Linked DNA regions of Drosophila melanogaster. The gene in region 4 interacts genetically with the main gene of each other region. Each region holds a gene or a part of one and is shown on either strand. Other genes may lie near its edges.

The links.
Region 1: of park (region 4) and Marf, changing one suppresses a phenotype caused by changing the other (phenotypic suppression), as found in Drosophila melanogaster (4 studies listed by BioGRID).
Region 2: of park (region 4) and Sod2, changing one suppresses a phenotype caused by changing the other (phenotypic suppression), as found in Drosophila melanogaster (2 studies listed by BioGRID).
Region 3: of park (region 4) and Opa1, changing one suppresses a phenotype caused by changing the other (phenotypic suppression), as found in Drosophila melanogaster (2 studies listed by BioGRID).

The regions. Positions count from the first base shown.
Region 1 is NC_004354.4:6,363,998-6,371,426, forward strand, and holds Marf (mitochondrial assembly regulatory factor), read left to right. Parts: upstream 1-1,951; 5' UTR 1,952-2,235; intron 2,236-2,635; 5' UTR 2,636-2,859; coding exon 2,860-3,166; intron 3,167-3,361; coding exon 3,362-3,651; intron 3,652-3,721; coding exon 3,722-4,060; intron 4,061-4,334; coding exon 4,335-4,346; intron 4,347-4,528; coding exon 4,529-5,455; intron 5,456-5,524; coding exon 5,525-5,695; intron 5,696-5,795; coding exon 5,796-5,992; intron 5,993-6,061; coding exon 6,062-6,263; 3' UTR 6,264-6,927; downstream 6,928-7,429. Other genes in the region: swa (swallow), read right to left, coding at 1-219, 308-1,147, 1,329-1,599. UniProt on the Drosophila melanogaster protein: Mitochondrial outer membrane GTPase that mediates mitochondrial clustering and fusion.
Region 2 is NT_033778.4:16,772,266-16,775,479, reverse strand, and holds Sod2 (superoxide dismutase 2 (Mn)), read left to right. Parts: upstream 1-1,564; 5' UTR 1,565-1,690; coding exon 1,691-1,725; intron 1,726-1,841; coding exon 1,842-2,460; 3' UTR 2,461-2,695; downstream 2,696-3,214. Other genes in the region: Arp53D (Actin-related protein 53D), read right to left, coding at 1-1,077, 1,131-1,218. UniProt on the Drosophila melanogaster protein: Destroys superoxide anion radicals which are normally produced within the cells and which are toxic to biological systems.
Region 3 is NT_033778.4:14,230,078-14,237,321, reverse strand, and holds Opa1 (optic atrophy 1), read left to right. Parts: upstream 1-1,872; 5' UTR 1,873-2,007; coding exon 2,008-2,036; intron 2,037-2,134; coding exon 2,135-2,432; intron 2,433-2,493; coding exon 2,494-2,629; intron 2,630-2,762; coding exon 2,763-2,879; intron 2,880-2,979; coding exon 2,980-3,054; intron 3,055-3,115; coding exon 3,116-3,705; intron 3,706-3,760; coding exon 3,761-4,134; exon of another isoform or gene 4,135-4,192; coding exon 4,193-4,357; intron 4,358-4,418; coding exon 4,419-4,606; coding exon of another isoform or gene 4,607-4,620; exon of another isoform or gene 4,621-5,357; coding exon 5,358-5,830; intron 5,831-5,895; coding exon 5,896-6,014; intron 6,015-6,077; coding exon 6,078-6,162; intron 6,163-6,222; coding exon 6,223-6,427; intron 6,428-6,483; coding exon 6,484-6,548; 3' UTR 6,549-6,711; downstream 6,712-7,244. Other genes in the region: Snrk (SNF related kinase), read left to right, coding at 1-483, 547-1,242.
Region 4 is NT_037436.4:21,194,210-21,198,420, reverse strand, and holds park (parkin), read left to right. Parts: upstream 1-1,567; 5' UTR 1,568-1,645; intron 1,646-1,651; exon of another isoform or gene 1,652-1,708; 5' UTR 1,709-1,718; coding exon 1,719-1,976; intron 1,977-2,035; coding exon 2,036-2,228; intron 2,229-2,284; exon of another isoform or gene 2,285-2,303; coding exon 2,304-2,649; intron 2,650-2,774; exon of another isoform or gene 2,775-2,790; coding exon 2,791-3,235; exon of another isoform or gene 3,236-3,290; coding exon 3,291-3,387; exon of another isoform or gene 3,388-3,464; coding exon 3,465-3,574; 3' UTR 3,575-3,667; downstream 3,668-4,211. Other genes in the region: Targ1 (terminal ADP-ribose protein glycohydrolase 1), read left to right, coding at 296-661, 784-872, 931-961; Targ3 (terminal ADP-ribose protein glycohydrolase 3), read right to left, coding at 967-1,116, 1,176-1,350, 1,404-1,525. UniProt on the Drosophila melanogaster protein: E3 ubiquitin-protein ligase which accepts ubiquitin from E2 ubiquitin-conjugating enzymes in the form of a thioester and then directly transfers the ubiquitin to targeted substrates, such as Paris, Marf, Opa1, Miro, pnut, Septin1, Tom20 and porin.

The DNA.
Region 1 (7,429 bases), on a different chromosome or scaffold from region 4:
GCTTGTCAAAGTAGTACATGCCCTCATGCTGGCCCCATTGCCTGGGCGAGATGAGCTCCCCCTGTTGTTCCCACTGCCGCCTGGAGCTGGGTCGCTCCTCCTCGTGCGCCTCCACCTCGATGGCCGAGTCGTTGCTGCTCGGCTGGCTGGTTTCCGAGTTGTTGGGCGCCGGGGTTCTTCTGACCAAGGCCCTGGATGAGGTTTCCACACGATGTTCGCCTTGAATAGAAACCAACAAAAATCCATGTTAGTCAATCTTATTCGAAATAATCTACAGATCTAATAAAATAGCATTGCGATTGCTTACCACTACCGCTGCCATCAGCTTCGGTGCTAACGCTGCTAAAGTCCAAAGATTGTGGATGAATCGCGCGTTGGACCTGGACGGGATTCTGGGCCACTCGGGCAGAAGGCGCCACACTGAGCAGTGCCAACTCGATGGATCCTTTGCTGCTGTTGTAGGTCAGGTCGCCCAGGGGATGGGGTGTGACCAGGACGTTTCCGGAGGCGGGTATGGTGTCCACCAGGAAATCCGTTTGAGTGGCCTTGGCACTGGTCGCCGATCGAATGTGGTACATGAAGTGGTGCTGTGAGTTGTCCTGCTGGCGCCTAAGCTTCTGCTGGCATTCGCTTAGCTCGGTGCGCAGGGTCTCGAAATTGCACTTCATCTTCACAAAATCATCTGTCTTTCTGTCCAGTCGTTCCTGGACATACTCGTTGAAGCCCTGCAGACGCTTCGCTTCTACTCTCAATGAGTTGATCTTTTGCTGCAGGCTCTCGTTCTCGGCCAGCAATCGATCAAAGCTGCTGCTAGAGTTGTTTGAATTGGAATTGTAATTCGAATCGGAGTTGGAGTGAGTCTGGCAGTTTTTGTCCACCTTGAAGTCACCATCATGGACATACACCTGCTGCAATGTGGGCGTTAGACTCTCCGGCATAGAGTTCACTCGCTGGAATCCGGCGAACTTCACATTGCGTCTCTTTTGGTCCTGCGCCTGGATCTCCGCTATGTACTGGCCCACCTTGCTGGTCACGTGCTGGAAGCGGCGCTTCGTGTAGGCCGAATGGATGTCCTGGTAAGAGACCGCCTTGCTGGAGCGCCCGCTGCCCAATGGAGCCTTCTCGCAACCCAGTTTATGATCATCGCCTGGTTGAATAAGAAAGGATACATGTTAGCACTAGCTAATTGACTGTGCCCATTGAATGAAGTACCCATTATACATCGAGACATGGAAGTACCAAAATTATACATATATGAGATATGTTTGATGGGAATATTTCTCCCATTGTAGTTAAGCAAGTGTAGAGAGAGAGCGAACACTTCTTACCATCGACATCCTCATCATAGTCGTCCTCATCCTCCTGATCACGACCCACGGGATCGCTTACGCATGTCTTGGCGCTCTTGTTGGCCACATCCCCATCCGCATCAAAGTCTGGATCCGCGTAGCAGATCTCCAAAAATGGCGCTGTATCCCGCTCGAAGACTGCGGGCTTATGGTGCTCCGCGAACCAGGTATTCCTGGCGCCACTGCTACTCAAATTGTTCAGCTGGTCAAACAGCTCGTCCGTCGGAAAACTCTCGTCCTGTAGACTCATCGCTTTTTATGCGGAAATCCGAAAAGCGGGGGAAATAATACAATTAACACGAGACACAAAATTACACGCGGATTCCAATTGGAGCGGGAAAGGCGCCGTTACATTCTGGCTAACTGGAAACTGGCTAGTGTGACCATTTCCAATCAGTGAAAATCATTGTCAGGGTAAATTCTATTTTTAAATTAGACAAAATTTAAATTAGACAATAAAAATAAAAATAAGCTAGGTGGTAGTAATTGAAAAAAATTAATTTCAATTAAATATGGCAGCGAATTGAAAAAATACCATATTAAGCTTTCGACTGGCATAAAAATATACTAGACATGGGAAGGCATAAAAATGCACTAACGCCGGATGTCAGCGAACAACATGAGTTGGTCACCTTAACGTTACATCATGTGCATTTAAAAAAAATTAATAATATTAACTAAATTTCGTGAAATTGCTTCTCTGCAACTGGATTCTAGTCGGCAATGTACGGTTATTGGAAGTTCGAACCACGCTTTCCACAATTTGCCATTTGAAAACGCATCAGCTGAGGGGCAGCAATTAAAAGAATCGAACAACCGGAGAGGAAAATAAATACAAATATAAAATAAAACAAATACAAATATGAGCGAGAGTGGCATTAATCAGGTTAGTTGATAGAGCGAGAGGGCAGATTAAACTTTATCAACTCGATTTACGCACACAGATGTAAATTGTCAGAAAAAAGAAAAACCAAAAACATTAGATTATTATACTTTTTTCGCCTATATTTGTTTGCAGCGCAATTGGACCACGTGTGTGTGTGTGCGTGCAATTTGCGTTGCGGTATTTTCCTTTTCGCCAAATACAGTGCACTCTCGACATAGCGAACAACAAATCAATAGTTTATGTTCTCTCTAAGATATACTTAGCAAACACATGCTTGATTTTGTAGCGCACATTTTGTTTAACACTTAAACCACTCAAGTTGAGCTTATCTGGTGCGCACTGTATTCAATCGTTTTGTTTTTTCTTTCGTGTCATAATTTTTCATTTAATTTCGTTTCAGTTTTATGACGTTGATTTTTGAGCAAATACCCCCAAAAGCAATATAACACACAATAAACAGAGATAGTTAAGTTTTGAGTTTCGGGTTGGCGGCGAAGTTGCAGAAGTTGGAAGTCTGAACAACCAAATCCCCTGGGCTGCATACCTTTTGTTTTGTATCGCAATTCTCTTCTTCTACCAAAAAACCATCTGCTAAACCGAATCAACCATAAACCGGATCCCGAAATGGCGGCCTACTTGAACCGCACCATCTCGATGGTGACCGGGCAAACGGGCCCCGCCGACGACGACCGTCACGCCTCCTCCACGGACACGGTGGACAAATCCGGACCCGGTTCCCCGCTATCCCGGTTCAACTCATCGCTGCAACAATCCGGCTCCACAATGGCCGCCAATCTGCTACCGGAATCGCGGCTCTATCAATCCAACGACAAATCACCGCTCCAGATCTTTGTGCGCGCCAAAAAGAAGATCAACGATATCTACGGCGAGATCGAGGAGTATGTCCATGAGACGACCACCTTTATCAACGGTGAGTTATGTATTATATTTTTAAAATACCCAACAGAAGCCAATCCTTGAACCTCTATGTTGCATGGTATTCGATAAGAACGATTATGATTCAGTTCATCGTTTTACAAGGGAAATGGTGAAATTTTGATTCTTATCTAACATCTATTGCCTTTGGCGAAATACCCAGTTAAACCAATGTTCGTTGCTCTTTCAGCCCTGCACGCGGAAGCGGAGATCGTGGACAAGGCGGAACGGGAGCTGTTCGAAAGCTATGTGTACAAGGTGGCGGCCATTCGCGAAGTACTGCAGCGGGATCACATGAAGGTGGCCTTCTTTGGACGCACCTCCAACGGCAAGAGCTCGGTGATTAATGCCATGTTGCGCGAGAAGATCCTGCCCAGCGGCATTGGGCACACCACGAATTGCTTCTGCCAAGTGGAGGGCAGCAATGGCGGCGAGGCGTATCTTATGACAGAGGGCTCCGAGGAGAAGCTAAATGTGGTGGTAAGTGGGCTACTCAGCTCTCCTCTGGGAAATGTGTTTCGCCTAATGACCTAGTGACCCTTGTTTGCAGAACATCAAACAACTGGCGAATGCCTTGTGCCAGGAGAAGCTCTGCGAGAGCAGTTTGGTGCGCATCTTTTGGCCGAGGGAACGCTGCAGCCTGCTGCGCGACGATGTCGTCTTTGTGGACTCACCTGGTGTGGATGTGTCGGCCAATTTGGACGACTGGATCGATAACCATTGCCTGAACGCCGATGTCTTTGTGCTGGTCCTGAATGCCGAGTCAACGATGACGCGTGCGGAGAAGCAGTTCTTTCACACCGTCTCGCAGAAGCTAAGCAAGCCGAACATCTTCATCCTGAACAATCGCTGGGATGCGTCGGCCAACGAGCCCGAGTGCCAGGAATCGGTATGATCTTCTAGGCGGCCCCTTTAGTTAGTCCACAATCTCTGTCAGACCCTGCATTACCATTACATGGCAGGCGAACCATATGCCACATATGTGTACATATGTTCGTTTGCCAGCAGTTTTGCACTGCCACATCTCATAAGTAATTTCTTGGACCTCTTCGTATGCCTGTTGTCTCTCTATGTTGATGTGTGTCTTTTGTTTTTGTTTATTACCCAACCAACCAATCAATCTATCAAACAACCAACCAACTATCCACTGTAATCAACGCCAGGAATTGGCTAAGGTAATGAATGAGCTAGACCCGCTTGCTTGGTCCCACAAAAACCCAATCCACTCTGCTTTGGTCTCTTTATCGAATTGAACCGATGAACACCTCCTTGTTGACTCTTCCCAAAGCAGCTTACTTAGTTGCCCTGATTGATTGATCTATGCACTTTCTAAGACGCTTATTTCATCAATTGATAGGTTAAGTCTCAGCACACGGAACGCTGCATCGACTTCCTCACCAAGGAGCTAAAGGTGAGCAACGAGAAGGAGGCGGCCGAAAGGGTATTCTTCGTTTCCGCCAGGGAAACGCTGCAGGCGCGCATCGAGGAGGCCAAGGGCAATCCGCCGCACATGGGTGCCATTGCCGAGGGCTTTCAGATACGCTACTTCGAGTTCCAGGACTTCGAGCGCAAGTTCGAGGAGTGCATCTCGCAGAGTGCTGTGAAAACAAAGTTCCAGCAGCACAGTTCGCGCGGCAAGAGTGTTTCGGGTGACATGAAATCAATGTTGGACAACATTTACGAGCGGATCACCATATTCCGCAATCTGAAGCAGGACCAGAAGAACCTGCTCACCGAACGCATCCAGGGCACAGAGACGCAGATGATGCAGGTTACGCGGGAAATGAAGATGAAGATCCACAACATGGTCGAGGAGGTGGAGGAGAAGGTGTCAAAGGCGCTGAACGAGGAGATCTGGCGCCTGGGCGTACTCATTGACGAGTTCAATATGCCCTTCCATCCGGAGCGTTTGGTGCTGAACATCTACAAAAAGGAATTGAATGCCCATGTGGAGAGCGGCCTGGGCAGCAATCTGCGCGCCCGCCTATCCATGGCCCTGGCCATGAACGTCGAGTCCGCCCAGACGGAGATGACCGATCGCATGCACGCCCTGGTGCCCAACGAGCAGCTCCTGGCCACCAGCACCAAGATGGTGGTGCGCACGCAGCCCTTCGAGATGCTCTACTCACTGAATTGCCAGAACCTCTGCGCCGACTTCCAGGAGGATCTGGAGTTTAAGTTCAGCTGGGGCATTGCGGCGATGATCCAGCGCTTCACCGGCAAGGTGCGCGAGCGCAGCAAGAAGGGCCAGCCGGCGCTGGTCAATCGACAGAGCAGTATTGGAGTGAGTTTCTACAGTATAGTTGTGTTGCACCACCTTTACTATATCTCTGCCATCGAATCTCGTTCACAGCACAGCGTATCGACGCCGACCACGACGCCCGTGGAAGCCACTCCTGTGTGCCTGCTGCCCGCTCCCGTTGTGGCTGGCATTACGCCCGAGCAGCTGTCGTTGATCTCACGCTTCGCGGTGTCCTCCATTGGATCGCAGGGCACCGTTGGTGGTCTCGTCGTAGCCGGTGTCGTAAGTGTTAACGGTTAAATTATCATAACACCTCTTGTCCTTACCAACGACCAAGCAGGTGATAGTGCATAGCTATGTGATGAAATCAAACCACTTGCAGATGCTGAAAACTATCGGCTGGCGTGTCCTGGTGGGCGTGGGTGCCCTCTACGGCTGCATCTACCTGTACGAGCGCCTCTCGTGGACAAATTCAGCCAAGGAGCGAACGTTCAAGTCGCAGTACGTGCGCCATGCCACCAAGAAGCTCAAGATGATTGTCGACCTCACCTCGGCCAACTGCAGCCACCAAGTGCAGCAGTGAGTATTGATCCCTTAGCGTCTGAATCGCTGATCACTTATCGAATATTCTCTGTCACATCTCAACAGGGAATTGTCGAGCACCTTTGCCCGTTTGTGCCGCACGGTTGATACCGCCACCACGGACATGAATGATGAGCTCAAGACGCTGGACTCGCAGCTGAACATCCTGGAGGCGAACCAGAAGCAATTGAAGCTGCTTCGCAACAAGGCCAACTACATACAGAACGAGCTGGACATCTTCGAGCACAACTATATATCGCCGCAGTAGTGGAACAGTAGTGGGTTGGCTGACCGTGGGGCAAAACACTAACCAGAATGTGGATGATCATAGAAATCAGGCGAAGACAAACACCCAAACGACTACAACAACATTAATGCACCACGTATTTGCTGCTCAACTCTCAGTTTTTCTCTCCTCTTTTATTTTATTTTTTTTGTAAGAAAATGCATGATATGAGCCAATCGATTGGAACCTCTTTATTCTCTATCGTTTAAACAAATCGTTGTTGTTGTTGAGAATTCTTTTAATTCCTAACATGCACTACTCTGCTAGTGTGATTATTTAGTTTTCTTTTTTTTGTAATTGTTGACCCGGAAACGCACGCGTATATATATATACAAATAGAGAAGTATCCAAAACACTGTGAGCATGGCCAGGTGCCATGGAAAAGCAAGTTGCGAGGAATTATGAATGCCACATGATGATGACCGACCCCAGAATGCGAAAGTCACTCACTTATTTACCTCTTTTTCGCCCCTAATAGAAAGTCTAGTACTTATACATATTTGTTTTTGAGTTGGGACGCTAGAATAAATGTTGGGGCAAAGCAAACCAATATATATGAAAACACAATTGTTGAGATGTTGCAAAGCATGAGAATGAGAATGATTCATGAACGAAAACGAAACGAAATAAATGATATTTATGTAAGAAACTCATAATCGAAATTATTTCAGTGGAACTTTGAATATCGGAGCCGTGTCGCGAAAACGACAGAGACGGATGATGGACATTTTGGGAGCGGAATAAGGGACACCTGGTTTTTCCCACTGATTACCGGACAACGCATTTCGAATTGTCTTTTTTGTTTTAATCATATCGTTTTGATCGGGATCACACAATTGGGTTATTCTTAGTTATTCTTATTTCCTTCAAAGCATTACTAATACAAAATGTACAAAGTATATGATTTTTGTGTTTGTTCACAGAAATAAATATGTAGGTTTGGAATACAAAATAACAAAGTGAATCTCTATATACTTCTTGCTTCCATTAGCATCCGTTATCAGTAAATACAATACTTGGATATACAACTTAAAGAAATCAATTCACGTGTTCCCCTCTCTTTGGACTTGCCGGAAACTAATAACAAAGTTTTTTTTTAACTGTGCTCTTAAGAATTAGATATGTGTTTTTGCCATACAAAAAAAGAG
Region 2 (3,214 bases), on a different chromosome or scaffold from region 4:
GGAAGCTCGTGAGTGAGGCCAAGACGGAACCACCCGTCCAAACGGAGAATCTGCGGTCTGGACTAGCGTTAACCTTGATTCGGATGGATGGTGGAGCCATTTCGGTTAGGTCTTGCAGGAATCTATGCTCGATGTTACGAAACATGGTCGTACCGCCAGAGAGAACAATGTTCGCATACATATCCTTTCGCAGATCCATGTCGCAGTTGGTTATCGAGTGATGGGTGGCCTCGTGGATGCCCATCACCTCCTGACCCAGCAAACTGGGTTGGAAGAGAGCCTCCGGGCAGCGGAATCTCTCGCAGCCCAAAACGATTTTCTGCCCATCTGGCAGCTCATAGGTTTCCACCTTTCCGTGGAGATCCATTTCCTTGGCATAGTTCATTGACACATAGCAGAGTTTCTCCTTGATTTCACGCACGATTTCCCGTTCAGCAGAGGTGCCCATTGTAACGCCCCTCTCCAGAAGCAGCTTGCATAGATAATCGGTGAGGTCCCTGCCGGCCAGATCAACTCGTACACAGGCGTGGGGCAGGGCAAATCCTTCGTAGATCGGTACCGTGTGCGTCACACCATCACCCGAGTCCACCACAATGCCCACAGTACGCCCGGTGGCGTAAAGTGAGAGCACAGCCTGAACTGCTACATAAAAAGCTGGCACCTGAAAGTGTTCGAACATAATCTCTGTCATCTTCTCTCTATTCTTCTTCGGATTCAGTGGGGCTTCGGTGAGTAGAGCCGGCAAATCCATTGGATCCGCCCGCAAGAGCTCGTACGTGTGCTGCCAAACCATCTCCATTTCATCCCAGTTCTTGACCATTCCGTGCTCGATGGGATACTTTAGGGTTAGTATTCCCCTTTTTCGGGCTGCCGCCTCGCCAATAACACTATCACCGATCACGGAATCCAGCAGGACGTTCAGGTGACGAGGTCTGCCCACAATCGACGGGAAGACAGCACGGGGAGTATCTTCTGGGGAGAATCCAGCCTTACATACTCCAGAGCCGTTGTCAATAACCACTGCGGCGTGGTGTGAATTACTATCTACCTCGCTGCTCATGTTTCCAGGAGAGGTTGCTGAACGAATCATGGTCAAATCATAAAATCTTTAGCTTATTTAAGCAACTTACGTAAATGTAGATATTTGTGAAGAATGTTCTGTGCCCGTTTATTTGTTATATCGATTTTGATTCGGGAAGGTATTTGAAATGTAGACATGTTGTGTGCTGTGTTCCAGTCGGATTTTTAAACTTATGACGTTAATTTCATGGTTTATTTCCAATTTAGCGCCATGACATACAGAGGCCAAAAATCGATTAATTCAAGTATCAATCGAATGGATGCAGTCGATACGTAAGCAGCTAAAATATGCTAATAGTCACTAAAGTAGTATTTAAACATAAGAAATATTTAAGAAATCCTCAATATGATTTGAATATGTTTCAGTGCAATGTTTCAATTAAAAATAGTTTTTAATTTCTTTTAGTTTTACTATTTAACTTCAATATATATAAGTTGATCTCACATCACTGACTGATTGGGGTCTTTCGATATTTTCTCATCTGCTCATCTCTAGCAGTAAATTGTTCAAATAGAACAAGCGAAATAACGAGAACGTAAGCCTTGTTTTATTTGATATAAAATCTGATATCGGGACTTAGCCTTATTAGCAGTCGAATAAAACGCAGATATGTTCGTGGCCCGTAAAATTTCGCAAACTGCAAGGTAAGTTGCGAAAAAAAGTATGCCCAAATCGATGCCGGCTGATTACATAAATAGCAACAAATGGCGACCCTGATCTTGAGGACATTATAAAACAAGACACACTTAACCCTTTGCAGCCTGGCGGTGCGTGGCAAGCACACCCTACCGAAGCTGCCCTACGACTATGCCGCCCTGGAGCCTATCATCTGCCGGGAGATCATGGAGCTGCATCACCAGAAGCACCACCAGACCTACGTCAACAATCTAAATGCCGCCGAGGAGCAGCTGGAGGAGGCCAAGTCGAAGAGCGACACCACCAAGCTGATTCAGCTGGCTCCTGCCCTGCGTTTCAATGGCGGTGGCCACATCAACCACACCATCTTCTGGCAGAACCTCTCGCCCAACAAGACCCAGCCCAGCGATGATCTGAAGAAGGCCATCGAGTCGCAGTGGAAGAGCCTCGAGGAGTTCAAAAAGGAGCTGACCACGCTGACCGTGGCGGTCCAGGGCTCCGGCTGGGGCTGGCTGGGCTTCAACAAGAAGTCGGGCAAACTGCAACTGGCCGCCCTGCCCAACCAGGATCCCCTGGAGGCCTCCACCGGCCTGATCCCGCTCTTCGGCATCGATGTCTGGGAGCACGCCTACTATCTGCAGTACAAGAACGTGCGTCCCTCCTACGTGGAGGCCATCTGGGACATCGCCAACTGGGATGACATCTCGTGCCGCTTCCAGGAGGCCAAGAAGCTCGGTTGCTAAGCACAGCCGGCGATTGCGTATGTTTAATCTATAAGCATCTGCGGATCGGAGATCCTAAATTGTAGTCTAAGTTGCGGCTAATAAATTGGTACCAGCTAGCAACTAATTTTTATAATTTTTATGAATGGGAATAAAACAATTTAAAACATAATTTCCGAAGATAACGCTTCACAAAGGCGTATTGAAACTATTACTTCATTGAGGAATTAAAAAATATACATATACCTATTCATATTTTTTATTTTTATCAATTTTATTACGCTCCAAAAAAATTAATTTTTATATTAAATTAAAATATCGCAAATACTGTAAATGTTTTACAACACTGCCGCCCATGGTGCCATCTCTAGCAAATCAGCTGTGCGCGAGCCAAACAAAAACAAAACAAAAGTCAGCCTGCCGCGAAATCGGGGGAGGAAAATTGACATTTCCACCGAGTTTTCCCGAACTTGCGTGCGCGCAGCTGCAAACAATTTTCCAGCACGCGTATCCGAATGGTGGAACAAATGGCCAGCCGCTGGCAGAGTCGTTTGTTGCCTGTTCGCGTAATGGCCATCCTCGAAAATCGCCCGGAGTTTTGAAATCGAGAGACCAGTACGAAACAAAGGAAAATCATTTAATTTCCTGAGGGCGGTGACGAATGAAAAACATACAAAATAAACCACTTGAGTGCAATAATAATTTAATAAAGAACTGTGATTGTGAGTGTGTGAGGAGAACTGTTGACGCCCATCAAGGAATTTAACTTCTAAAC
Region 3 (7,244 bases), on a different chromosome or scaffold from region 4:
AAAGGCGAACAGATAGCTAATAGCGGAGTGCCAAGCCATTCACGTACAAAGATTGTCGTCTCGGTGGATGCAACGCTGGCCCATAAGCTCAAGCAGATGGAGAAGAGTGCCAAGATCGATGAGGACACGCTGAGTGGTCTGAAGGAGCTGGAGATCGGCAAGCTCAAGCCGCTTCCTAGCAGCAGCAAGAATCCGGTGCTTACCCACCGTCGCACAAAGCTGAACAAGATTCGGACGCCTTCATGCAGCAGCTCGGAGGCCTCAGACGACGACACCAAGACACGCAACAAGAAAAAGATTAACAAATTTGTCGGTGACACGCCAGTGCGGTTTCGCATGCATCGTCGCGACTCGCATGACGACTCCAGCGACTCGCAAGATCAGCTATATCCGCCGCCCGGCTCGGCCAGCAATGCGGGTAATTTTATCTCCAAAAGCGGCTCAGTAAGCGGCAAAAAAGAGGGACAATCGCAGTATAAAGAGGTACGATTATTATTGTATAATTATCAGTGAGACAGCTACTAAACTTATATTCTTTGCTTACAGCCAAATAACAAATCCGATGAAAATCGCAAATCTCACAGCCAAAAAAATCGGAAACAGCACAACAAGGATCATGTTGATAAGCATTCCCACGCTGAGAGGCAGCTGGCGGATAGCAGCACAGCTACAACAGGAAATTCCACGAATAGAAGGCGGCGCATTCGCGAGAGCCAGTCGCTGGACCGCATCACAGAGGCTCAGGAATACGAGATGCGGCATCGATGCTACGCGGAGAGCGAGGCAGCATCCTCGTCGTCCTCGTCCACCCAACATATCGATCAGAGATATTCTTTACTCAGCCTAAACACTAGCACATTCTCCGTTGCCGAAACCAAGGAGGAGTACGACGAGGAGGCAGACGCCACAAATGCCACGGACCAAATCATGAATACTTTGAATGCAGCCAAAGCAACGCTTCAACAAGAGCAATATTTTAATAACAATACCAATCTTAGTAGGAACTTCAATCACAATCACAACCAGAGCATCATCCACATCAGTAGCCAGAAAGCCAACGGCAAGAAGTCCAACGAAACACCAAAAGATATTTATAATCTGAACTCAATCGAGCATATCGACTTGATTTTGGAGGATAAAAGCCTTACCAAAGCAATACACGTTACCGGCTCTAAATGCTTTGTCACCATGAAGAAAATCCGACGGCTGGGAAAATATTTTCCCGTGATGAACTTCTCTTAATAGACACAGTTACTTCTTTGCAAAGTGCATTCTAAATATTAAAAAGAAACTCGGTTAAGCGAACTACATAGAAAATATGCATGTATTAATTAAAACGTATAAACGTCAACGTTATCCCCCGTATATAGGAAAGAGCGCGAGAATATTTAAATTTAGTGGTAGCGTAATTGTTTTGTCTGTCGTCGTCATTACGCTTAAATTATTCTAAATATATTAATTTATGTTAATTATAAGTCTAATCACTCAATGCAATATTTAGTGAAAATACATTAATGCCCATATGACAATTGACTAAAAAGGTTATTTGTTTTCTTTTTAACAAATTGTGACGAATTAAAATGGAATGAAACTCGCAACTCGCACAATCTAAAATTGGCAATTCAAATGTTTGCGCCCAACTACAGTGTGTACACACCACAAATGTTGTAGAGTAGGTAAAGGAAATAAAGCAATAAACATTTAACTACTTAAAGCTCTTAAGATGTAGTTAAGCAATGATGGATGTCACCAAGCAATTTTTTTTTATTGTAAGAAAAATATACAATATACAAAAATATATTCTTTTATTTTACAAAATGATGCGTGTAAAATACATTGTACCTAATGCAGGTACCCCAAACGAGTACAAGCCACCCTTTTCAACTCTGGTCACACAGAGCACATCCCGTAAAGTTTTTCAGAGATGAGTTTGCGGCAGGAAAATTGAATTATTCACGGAAATAAACAAAGTAAACTAAGTGGAAACTGTAATCCTGACCAGCAATTATGTTGCGCATCTATCAAAATACTTACCGGTGAGAGACCACGCCCGAAACGCGAAAGCCTTACGTGCAGATTTTCTGCACGATTTCGTCATCGGCGAATCTCATCATTCAATGTGTTTTGCCCACAGGCGCACCGCGAGAAAAGCTGTTGTCTACTCCACCAAGGTCGCCTGCTGCAATCATTCCACGCTCTGTGGCATCACCAGCCATCCACGTCGGGCGCAGGATAGCGGGAGCTCCAGTTCGAATGGCAGGCACCGTGGCCACGAGGAGTTCCTACTTGCCGGCAATCCGGCGCGGGGCTGGCAAATGCCTCCGCCGTCGCGTGGTTACGGAATGCTGGTGGTGCGCATACTGCGGGGAGCCCTCAAGCTGCGATACATCGTCCTGGGCGGCGCCATCGGCGGGGGCGTGTCGCTGAGCAAAGTGAGTTTCGCAAGTTATATAACTTGTATAGAACTTAGGAGACATGATTTGTTTTCCGCAGAAATACGAGGAATGGAAGGATGGACTGCCGAATTTTAAGTGGCTGGAGGATGCCATGCCGCAGGGCGAACGGTGGAGCCAGTTCTCGCGGAATCTCATTGAGGTGGGCTCGCTGGTGAAGAACGCCATCGAAGTTGGTGAGTGTCCATGTAGACCTACCATCGCCCTTTCAATCTCTCACTTTAAATGGTCATATACCTTGGTCAGATTCGCATTGAACTCTTCGTTTTGATTGATTGATACTGATGTTATTGGGGCGTTTGCTTGTAGATCCAAAGCTCAAGCAGCTGGGCGAGGATAAGTTGTCGGAATGGCGCAACTGGTTTGACAGTCGTCTGGACGATGCCATCGAGGCGGCCGATTATCAAGGAGTTCAGATTGTCGAAAGTAGGTTACACAAATTACACAGACTCCCAACGTTGGGACCATTTAAAGTGAGAGATCCCTATCTACCGCATTCGAGACTTATTCCTAACATCTGTTGCAGCCAAAGATGACTTAAAGGCCAAAACAACGGTGGCCGCTTTAGGCATAACATCCGATGAGAGTCGTAAGAAGTATGGTAGGTTTTTTGCACACCTGCCGAAAGATATACTATATCTAATCCTTCTGTGATTCCGCAGAGAAACTCCAGAGCCAGGTGGAGACGCTGCAGACGGAGATCATGAACGTCCAGATTAAGTACCAAAAGGAGCTGGAGAAGATGGAGAAGGAGAACCGTGAACTACGCCAGCAATACCTCATCCTGAAAACAAACAAAAAGACCACGGCAAAAAAAATCAAAAAATCCCTGATCGACATGTACTCTGAGGTCCTTGATGAGCTATCCGGCTACGATACGGGCTACACCATGGCCGATCACCTACCCCGTGTTGTGGTAGTGGGAGATCAGAGCAGCGGCAAGACCTCTGTCCTGGAATCCATTGCTAAGGCTCGCATCTTTCCCCGTGGCAGTGGAGAGATGATGACGCGAGCCCCAGTCAAAGTTACTCTGGCTGAAGGACCATACCATGTGGCTCAGTTCCGTGACTCTGACCGGGAATACGATCTCACCAAGGAGTCTGATCTGCAGGACCTCCGTCGGGATGTGGAGTTCCGAATGAAGGCGTCGGTGAGAGGTGGTAAAACCGTCAGCAATGAAGTCATTGCCATGACGGTCAAGGGTCCCGGTCTGCAACGCATGGTTCTAGTCGATTTGCCAGGAATAATTTCGGTGAGCAAGTCAATACAAGTAAAACTGCGCACATCTAATGCTAATATCATTTTAGACCATGACTGTCGACATGGCCTCAGACACAAAAGATTCCATTCACCAGATGACCAAGCATTATATGAGCAATCCGAACGCCATCATTCTCTGCATTCAGGATGGATCTGTGGACGCTGAGCGCAGTAATGTGACAGACTTGGTCATGCAGTGCGATCCCTTGGGTCGACGCACTATTTTTGTGCTCACAAAGGTGGATCTGGCCGAGGAGCTCGCCGATCCTGATAGAATAAGGAAAATCCTTTCGGGCAAACTCTTCCCCATGAAGGCTTTGGGCTACTATGCCGTCGTTACCGGTCGTGGACGAAAGGATGACAGCATAGATGCTATTCGGCAGTATGAGGAAGACTTCTTTAAGAACTCCAAGCTTTTCCAGTAAGTATAGAGAGGATGTGATTGGTAAATTCCAAAGTTCACCTCTCTCCATACTTAGTCGTCGAGGGGTTATCATGCCCCATCAGGTGACCAGCCGCAATCTGAGCTTGGCGGTGTCAGATCGTTTCTGGAAGATGGTGAGGGAAACCATTGAGCAGCAGGCGGATGCATTTAAGGCGACTAGATTTAATCTGGAAACCGAATGGAAAAATAACTTCCCCAGGTTTGTAAAAATGTTTTAAAAAATATAAGAGATCTATAACATTTGAGGTATACTCTTTTAGATTGCGCGAGTCTGGTCGAGATGAGCTGTTCGACAAGGCAAAGGGCGAGATACTGGACGAGGTGGTAACGCTCTCGCAAATCTCCGCTAAAAAGTGGGACGACGCTCTGAGCACCAAGCTATGGGAAAAGCTCTCCAATTATGTGTTTGAAAGCATCTATCTGCCCGCTGCACAGTCAGGTTCTCAAAGTAATATTTTGTAGTACTAAGTGTAGGTTGTAAGCAGATTTCGCCGACGTCATCGATGGGGGCACGTCCATCCAATCGCCCGCCTTGTGTGCTCCGTCATTGTGTGTGTTTCTTGCAAGAAGATATGGCTTGGCCTCGAACCTCACGTGTCTCTGCAAAACGTTGTGTCGTTTAAATGTTTTGTTTAATTTTGTATTTATCATGGCCCGCATTCAGCGTCGAATTCCCGTGCAAGGGAATCACATGCGTTAAATAATTTCAAACCGGTTTGACTGATATTCCTGCAACATTTCTTGAATCACAAGTGTAAATTTAATGTGTACTCCCCGGCGGACGATTTCGAATCCCATTAACACCGTTTGCCTTTGCCCCAAAATAGTGACCCGGGATTGTCACAGGTTCTGCGTTGCGATCATGTGCCGGAAAGTCGCTTATAACGAAGATTTACGAGCACCTGTACCGAAACCAGATTTTGGTTTATGTTCACATTATAAAAACGTATGCGATATTAGCGATTTATGACCGAAAAACCCGTTTAAGCCATCGCTCAGCTTGTGTTTATTTAGCATTTTATGACAGACCTGTTAATTTGCTCAATGAATTCATCCAAATCAATGTCTAATTGAATTAAATTGCAGTTATCGAGTTAGGAATCTGAATGTTTCGTCGCTTTGTTTATCATTCCCCCCGTAGTTGTGTGTCTAGTTAATTTGGCTCAACTAATTTCATACGATTACTATGCTCTTTATAGATTCCTTCAACACGATGGTAGACATCAAGTTGCGCCAGTGGGCCGAGCAGGCACTGCCCGCTAAGTCGGTGGAAGCTGGCTGGGAAGCGTTGCAGCAGGAATTCATATCGCTGATGGAGCGTTCGAAGAAGGCGCAGGATCACGACGGCATCTTCGATCAGTTGAAGTCTGCGGTGGTGGATGAGGCTATACGTCGGCACAGCTGGGAGGACAAGGCCATCGACATGCTTCGCGTTATCCAGCTGAATACGCTGGAGGATCGGTTCGTGCACGACAAGCAGGAGTGGGATTCGGCGGTTAAGTTCCTGGAGAGTTCGGTGAATGCCAAGCTCGTGCAGACGGAGGAGACTTTAGCACAAATGTTTGGTCCCGGCCAAATGCGACGAATTACCCACTGGCAGTACCTGACGCAGGATCAGCAGAAGAGGCGAAGCGTTAAGAACGAACTCGACAAAATACTCAAAAACGATACGGTATGGGTAGTATACATTATATAGTTAGTTATTCCTCATTTACACGCATTACATTATGTTGGTAGAAACATTTGCCCACCCTGACCCATGATGAACTGACTACGGTTCGCAAGAACCTTCAGCGTGATAACGTGGATGTGGACACGGACTACATAAGGCAAACGTGGTTCCCGGTCTACAGAAAGTAAGTTGTAATGCTAAACCATTTAGACTGCTTATCAGTTAGCACATATGTCTCTTTTTTCAGACACTTTCTGCAGCAGGCGTTACAGAGGGCAAAGGATTGCCGCAAAGCATATTACCTCTACACGCAGCAGGGAGCCGAGTGTGAGGTAAGTGTTAAGGTTTTCCCTCTTATCTGAACCAATTTACTTAACTTATTGCTTTCTCAGATATCCTGCAGCGACGTCGTGCTCTTCTGGCGCATCCAGCAGGTGATCAAGATAACAGGCAACGCACTGAGACAGCAAGTAATCAATCGGGAGGCGCGGCGGCTGGACAAGGAGATCAAAGCGGTGCTGGACGAGTTCAGCGATGACGAGGAGAAGAAGGGTTACCTGCTCACCGGCAAGCGCGTGCTACTAGCCGAGGAGCTAAGTGAGTGCTTTGCTTAATTGAATTTGGCGCCAATTTAATTGCTTTCAATTCAACAGTCAAAGTGCGGCAGATCCAAGAGAAGCTGGAGGAGTTCATCAATTCACTTAATCAGGAAAAGTAGTGTGCCATGACCAAAGACACAACACCCGAGGCGTTACTTATTTAACTTGATAGTTTAAGACCACATTTGAAATGTTTGTTCATAGTCACGCTTGAGCCCCTTAGTTAAGCATACTTTGTGCTCCGAAAGTAATAAACAAATAGATCGTTAGTTCGTATTATTGAAATCGTCTTTATTGTTTATGAAGTGTAACCTTATGTCGCATGCAATGCAATGTAAACTCATTAATTTAAATGTAATATAAATCATTCATTCTGTTTTAATGTAATTGTAGTTGATAAACGTTAACGCGAAACGCACTCATCGTGCTGAGTATGTAGCGGTCCGTGTGTGTTTCTGAATCTGTATCGTGTAATATATATATATACATATATATTTAAATCGGTTTGCATAAGAGCACAGCACTTTTACCAGATGCCTCATCGTGCGGTTGATTGTTTGTTTCGTTTTGTCCACGATCGGCTAATCCCGCGATGCGCCGGCATCTGTATCGGTATCGAGATCGGTGGTGGGTGCATTAACCCCGACCGATCGTCTGGCCGCGTCTCTAATTGATTGATTGTTTGATTGATAAACGTATATCTAGCTAACTATGTATGTAGCTAGCTATGTAACATAACAAGTCCGTGATTGCGGTGCAGTACCATATCTCTTACAAGGTAAACAAATGCTCGTTCCCTATCATGTTAAATAACT
Region 4 (4,211 bases):
TGCTTGGGACTTGTGGCATCATATGCACCAAATACTTATATAGTTGATAAGAACGATACACCTAAGAGGTTTTTATAGCACACAAAGTTTCCATATTTGGTTATTTATACTGTATTTAATGTATTAATAAATAAAACACGTCCTCGAGAGGATATTAACCAAAGATTGGAGTTTTGATAAATACATATATATACCCTTACGAACCATTATCTAGTGTTATCGTATGACCAAAAATTAATCTAGTAGCTGCCTGTTACACTAAGTCAGACAGATCTAAAACCCTTATTTAAACTAAATGTATTCTCCCAAACTTCTAGAACTACGTAGCGCATTTCGGCGAGCTTTTGTAGTCGGAATGTCATCCAAACCTCAGTACACCCTAAGCGAAGTGGATGGGGATCTGTTTTCCGCCCCCAAGACCTATTCCTTGGCGCACTGTGTGGGCGCAGATCTTGCGATGGGTGCTGGAATTGCCGTGCAGTTCAAGAAGGTATTCGGAAGGTTGGACGAGCTGCAAGCCCAACAAGCGGGCAGTGGAGATATTGCGGTGCTGAAGGATGACCAGCGGTACATTTACTACCTAGTAACCAAGCCTCAGAGCTGGGGAAAGCCCACCTACGAATCTGTACAAGCATCTTTGGAGCAGATGCGTGAGCATATGGTAAATACATGCCTGATACATATCTTTTATGAATGGAATGTATCCCTGCTTTTATTTATTATATATATAAAGCTTAGACAAGTTATATTAATAAGAGCTACATTTTATTATTCCTACATTAGCGCAAAAACAACGTGAATAAGCTGGCCATCCCAAAAATTGGCTGCGGAATTGATGGCTTGGAATGGGAAAAAGTCAGCGGAGTCCTCGAGTACGTTTTTGGCCAAGAGCCGCTGGAGATTGTTGTCTACAATTTTGTGCCTCCACAGGGAAAATAATGGATCGTTTAGTTTAATATGAGCCATTTACTTCATAGCAACATAATTATAAACGACCAGCTCAACAGAATCCGCTTGAAAAACCTGGCAAATTATTTCCTTAACTTTGGGCCAGTTTAGGCCATCCAAACCGCATCCAATGCGGGGCATGGCTAGCTTGGGTACTTGGTGGGAGATCTGCAAATGGTAGAAAGATTCGTATATCATAACTTCTTATAGAAGATACATAAACATACCATGTGTTTTCGCATGGCGATCAAGGAACTCTGGAGAAGTTCGTAGGTGGGCTTTCCCCAGCTGGATTTCTTGGTGATCAGATAGTAAATAAATCGCTGCTGGTCCTGAAGGACAGCCACGCCGCCTGGCTGAACATTTTGTCTCTGCAAATTCAACAACTGTCCAAATTTGTTTCTGGAAAATAGGCAAATTTACCATTTTATTAAAAACACTAAGCCATTACCTACCGAAACTTTACAGCTATGCCTCTGCCCATTCGCAAATCGGCAGCCACGCAGTGGCACATGGAATAATCCCTTTGGCATTTGAATAGGTCGCCATTGATCTCTCTGTAAGTTAGTCCTGACATTTCCATAAAACTTTTACATTTATACTCCTCCGACTTCTTCACAAAAATTGTTTTCAATTGTGCGCTTTCTGCGTGTCCACGTTTTCCTCCGAATGGCTGCCAGCTGGTGTTTGGCAACGCGTAAGTAAACAACGATTGGCAACACTGAAGCATATACACTGCACTAAAATTAAACCCGATCAGCTGATAACAAATGAGTTTTATTTTTAAATTTATTGCCACTTTTGTACGCAAAATGCTGGAGCTGTTGCAATTTGGAGGGAAAACCCTTACGCACACGCTGAGTATTTATGTAAAAACGAACACGGGCAAAACGCTGACCGTTAATCTGGAGCCCCAGTGGGATATTAAAAACGTAAAGGAACTGGTGGCACCACAATTGGGACTTCAGCCGGATGATCTAAAGATCATATTTGCCGGTAAGGAACTAAGCGATGCCACGACAATAGAGGTAAGAAGTTTCTTTAATGTATCCGCTACATGAAGTTAACTTTTACTGTCTTCTAGTAGCAATGTGACTTGGGTCAGCAAAGCGTTTTGCATGCCATTCGTTTGCGACCGCCCGTGCAGCGCCAGAAAATCCAGTCGGCCACTTTGGAGGAGGAGGAACCTTCGCTTAGCGATGAAGCCTCCAAGCCTCTAAATGAAACTCTGTTGGACTTGCAGCTGGAAAGCGAGGAGCGTCTGAATATAACCGATGAAGGTAGGCAACAATTAGTTTTTATTGTTTTTTTTTTTTTTAACGAAACCCCTTGTAATCCCGTCGTATCCTCTCCAGAAAGAGTCCGTGCCAAAGCGCATTTCTTTGTACATTGCAGCCAATGCGATAAGCTGTGTAATGGCAAACTTCGGGTCCGCTGCGCTTTATGCAAGGGCGGCGCCTTTACTGTCCATCGTGATCCGGAGTGTTGGGATGATGTCTTGAAGTCGCGTAGAATTCCCGGTCATTGTGAAAGTCTGGAGGTGGCCTGCGTGGACAACGCGGCTGGCGATCCGCCCTTCGCTGAATTCTTCTTCAAGTGTGCTGAGCATGTCTCCGGCGGGGAGAAGGATTTTGCGGCTCCATTGAATCTAATCAAGAATAACATCAAGAATGTTCCTTGCCTGGCCTGCACGGATGTGAGGTGATTATGCAATAAGGAACATCTTAATTTCTTATAATTTTCATATCATCGAAAATGTCATAAAAAGTTCTTTTAAAGTCTTTAAAGTAATTATTTGTCATATAATTTTATTCTGCTATAATCACCTTATTATGTTCGCAGTGATACCGTGTTGGTTTTCCCCTGCGCATCGCAGCACGTCACCTGTATCGACTGCTTCCGCCATTATTGCCGTTCCCGTTTGGGCGAGCGTCAGTTTATGCCGCATCCGGACTTCGGCTACACCTTGCCCTGTCCCGCAGGCTGCGAGCACTCGTTCATCGAGGAGATTCATCACTTCAAGCTGTTGACACGCGAGGAGTACGATCGGTACCAGAGATTCGCCACCGAGGAGTATGTCCTACAGGCAGGTGGAGTACTCTGCCCCCAGCCAGGATGCGGCATGGGCCTTTTGGTGGAGCCCGATTGTCGCAAGGTGACATGCCAGAACGGCTGTGGATACGTGTTCTGCCGCAATTGTCTGCAGGGCTACCATATCGGGGAGTGTCTGCCCGAGGGGACGGGCGCCAGTGCCACAAACTCCTGCGAGTACACCGTGGACCCAAATGTGAGTTGGCTCTTATACGGCCCATTCCCGCTTGTGTAATCATGTGCTTTTTTAGCGAGCTGCCGAGGCGCGATGGGATGAGGCCAGCAATGTCACCATCAAAGTCAGCACAAAGCCCTGTCCAAAATGCAGAACCCCCACGGAGCGAGATGGTGAGTTGGGCGAGCATCGAAGACACCCAAGACGCAGTTTGTAACACATCCATACCGTCTTCTTCTCTTCCTACCAGGCGGTTGCATGCACATGGTCTGCACACGCGCTGGCTGCGGATTCGAGTGGTGCTGGGTCTGCCAGACTGAGTGGACACGCGACTGCATGGGAGCCCACTGGTTCGGCTAATCCTTCGTCATCGTTGTACGTCGGCCCGACGGGTCCTTTTTGTTTGTTGACTACTTTTAAATTGTATACCATAGTAAAGACTGCTCGAACAACACCCTGTTTGTCGTCTACGCAATCAATAGCAGAAACACCCCTGACAAGGACCAACGCGAATCACATCCTACCCCACTCTGTTCCTTTGTTGCGTGCGCACAAAAACTTTGTTTACGTTTTTTTTTAAGCTCGCCCACAAATATTTTGAGGGCTTTCCTCTTCGGCCAGGCATGCGAAAACCGCAACAAACACGTGCATTTGGCCAAACAGCCAGAGAGCGAGTGCCGCGAATGCGCAGTGGGTGGTCAGCGGCACAAGGTTCATGTGATTTCAACCCAGGCGCGTAGCCGCAAGGGGACTAATAATTGATTGGGGGATGGTAAAGGCATTTCAAAAATGTTCCTGGATTTTCAAAAGTACTAACTACTATTCTTGCTAAAGAGAGAAAACACAAAAGAGAAAATTATTAAGAAACTGAAACTTAAATTTTGGCCGTTAATACGTAAAATTAAATATTTCACTTTAATACAGTTTTATAATTCATATGTGCAACCGCCCTAGGACACATCTGTAAATCAATAGATTTTAGGCAATTATATATAGG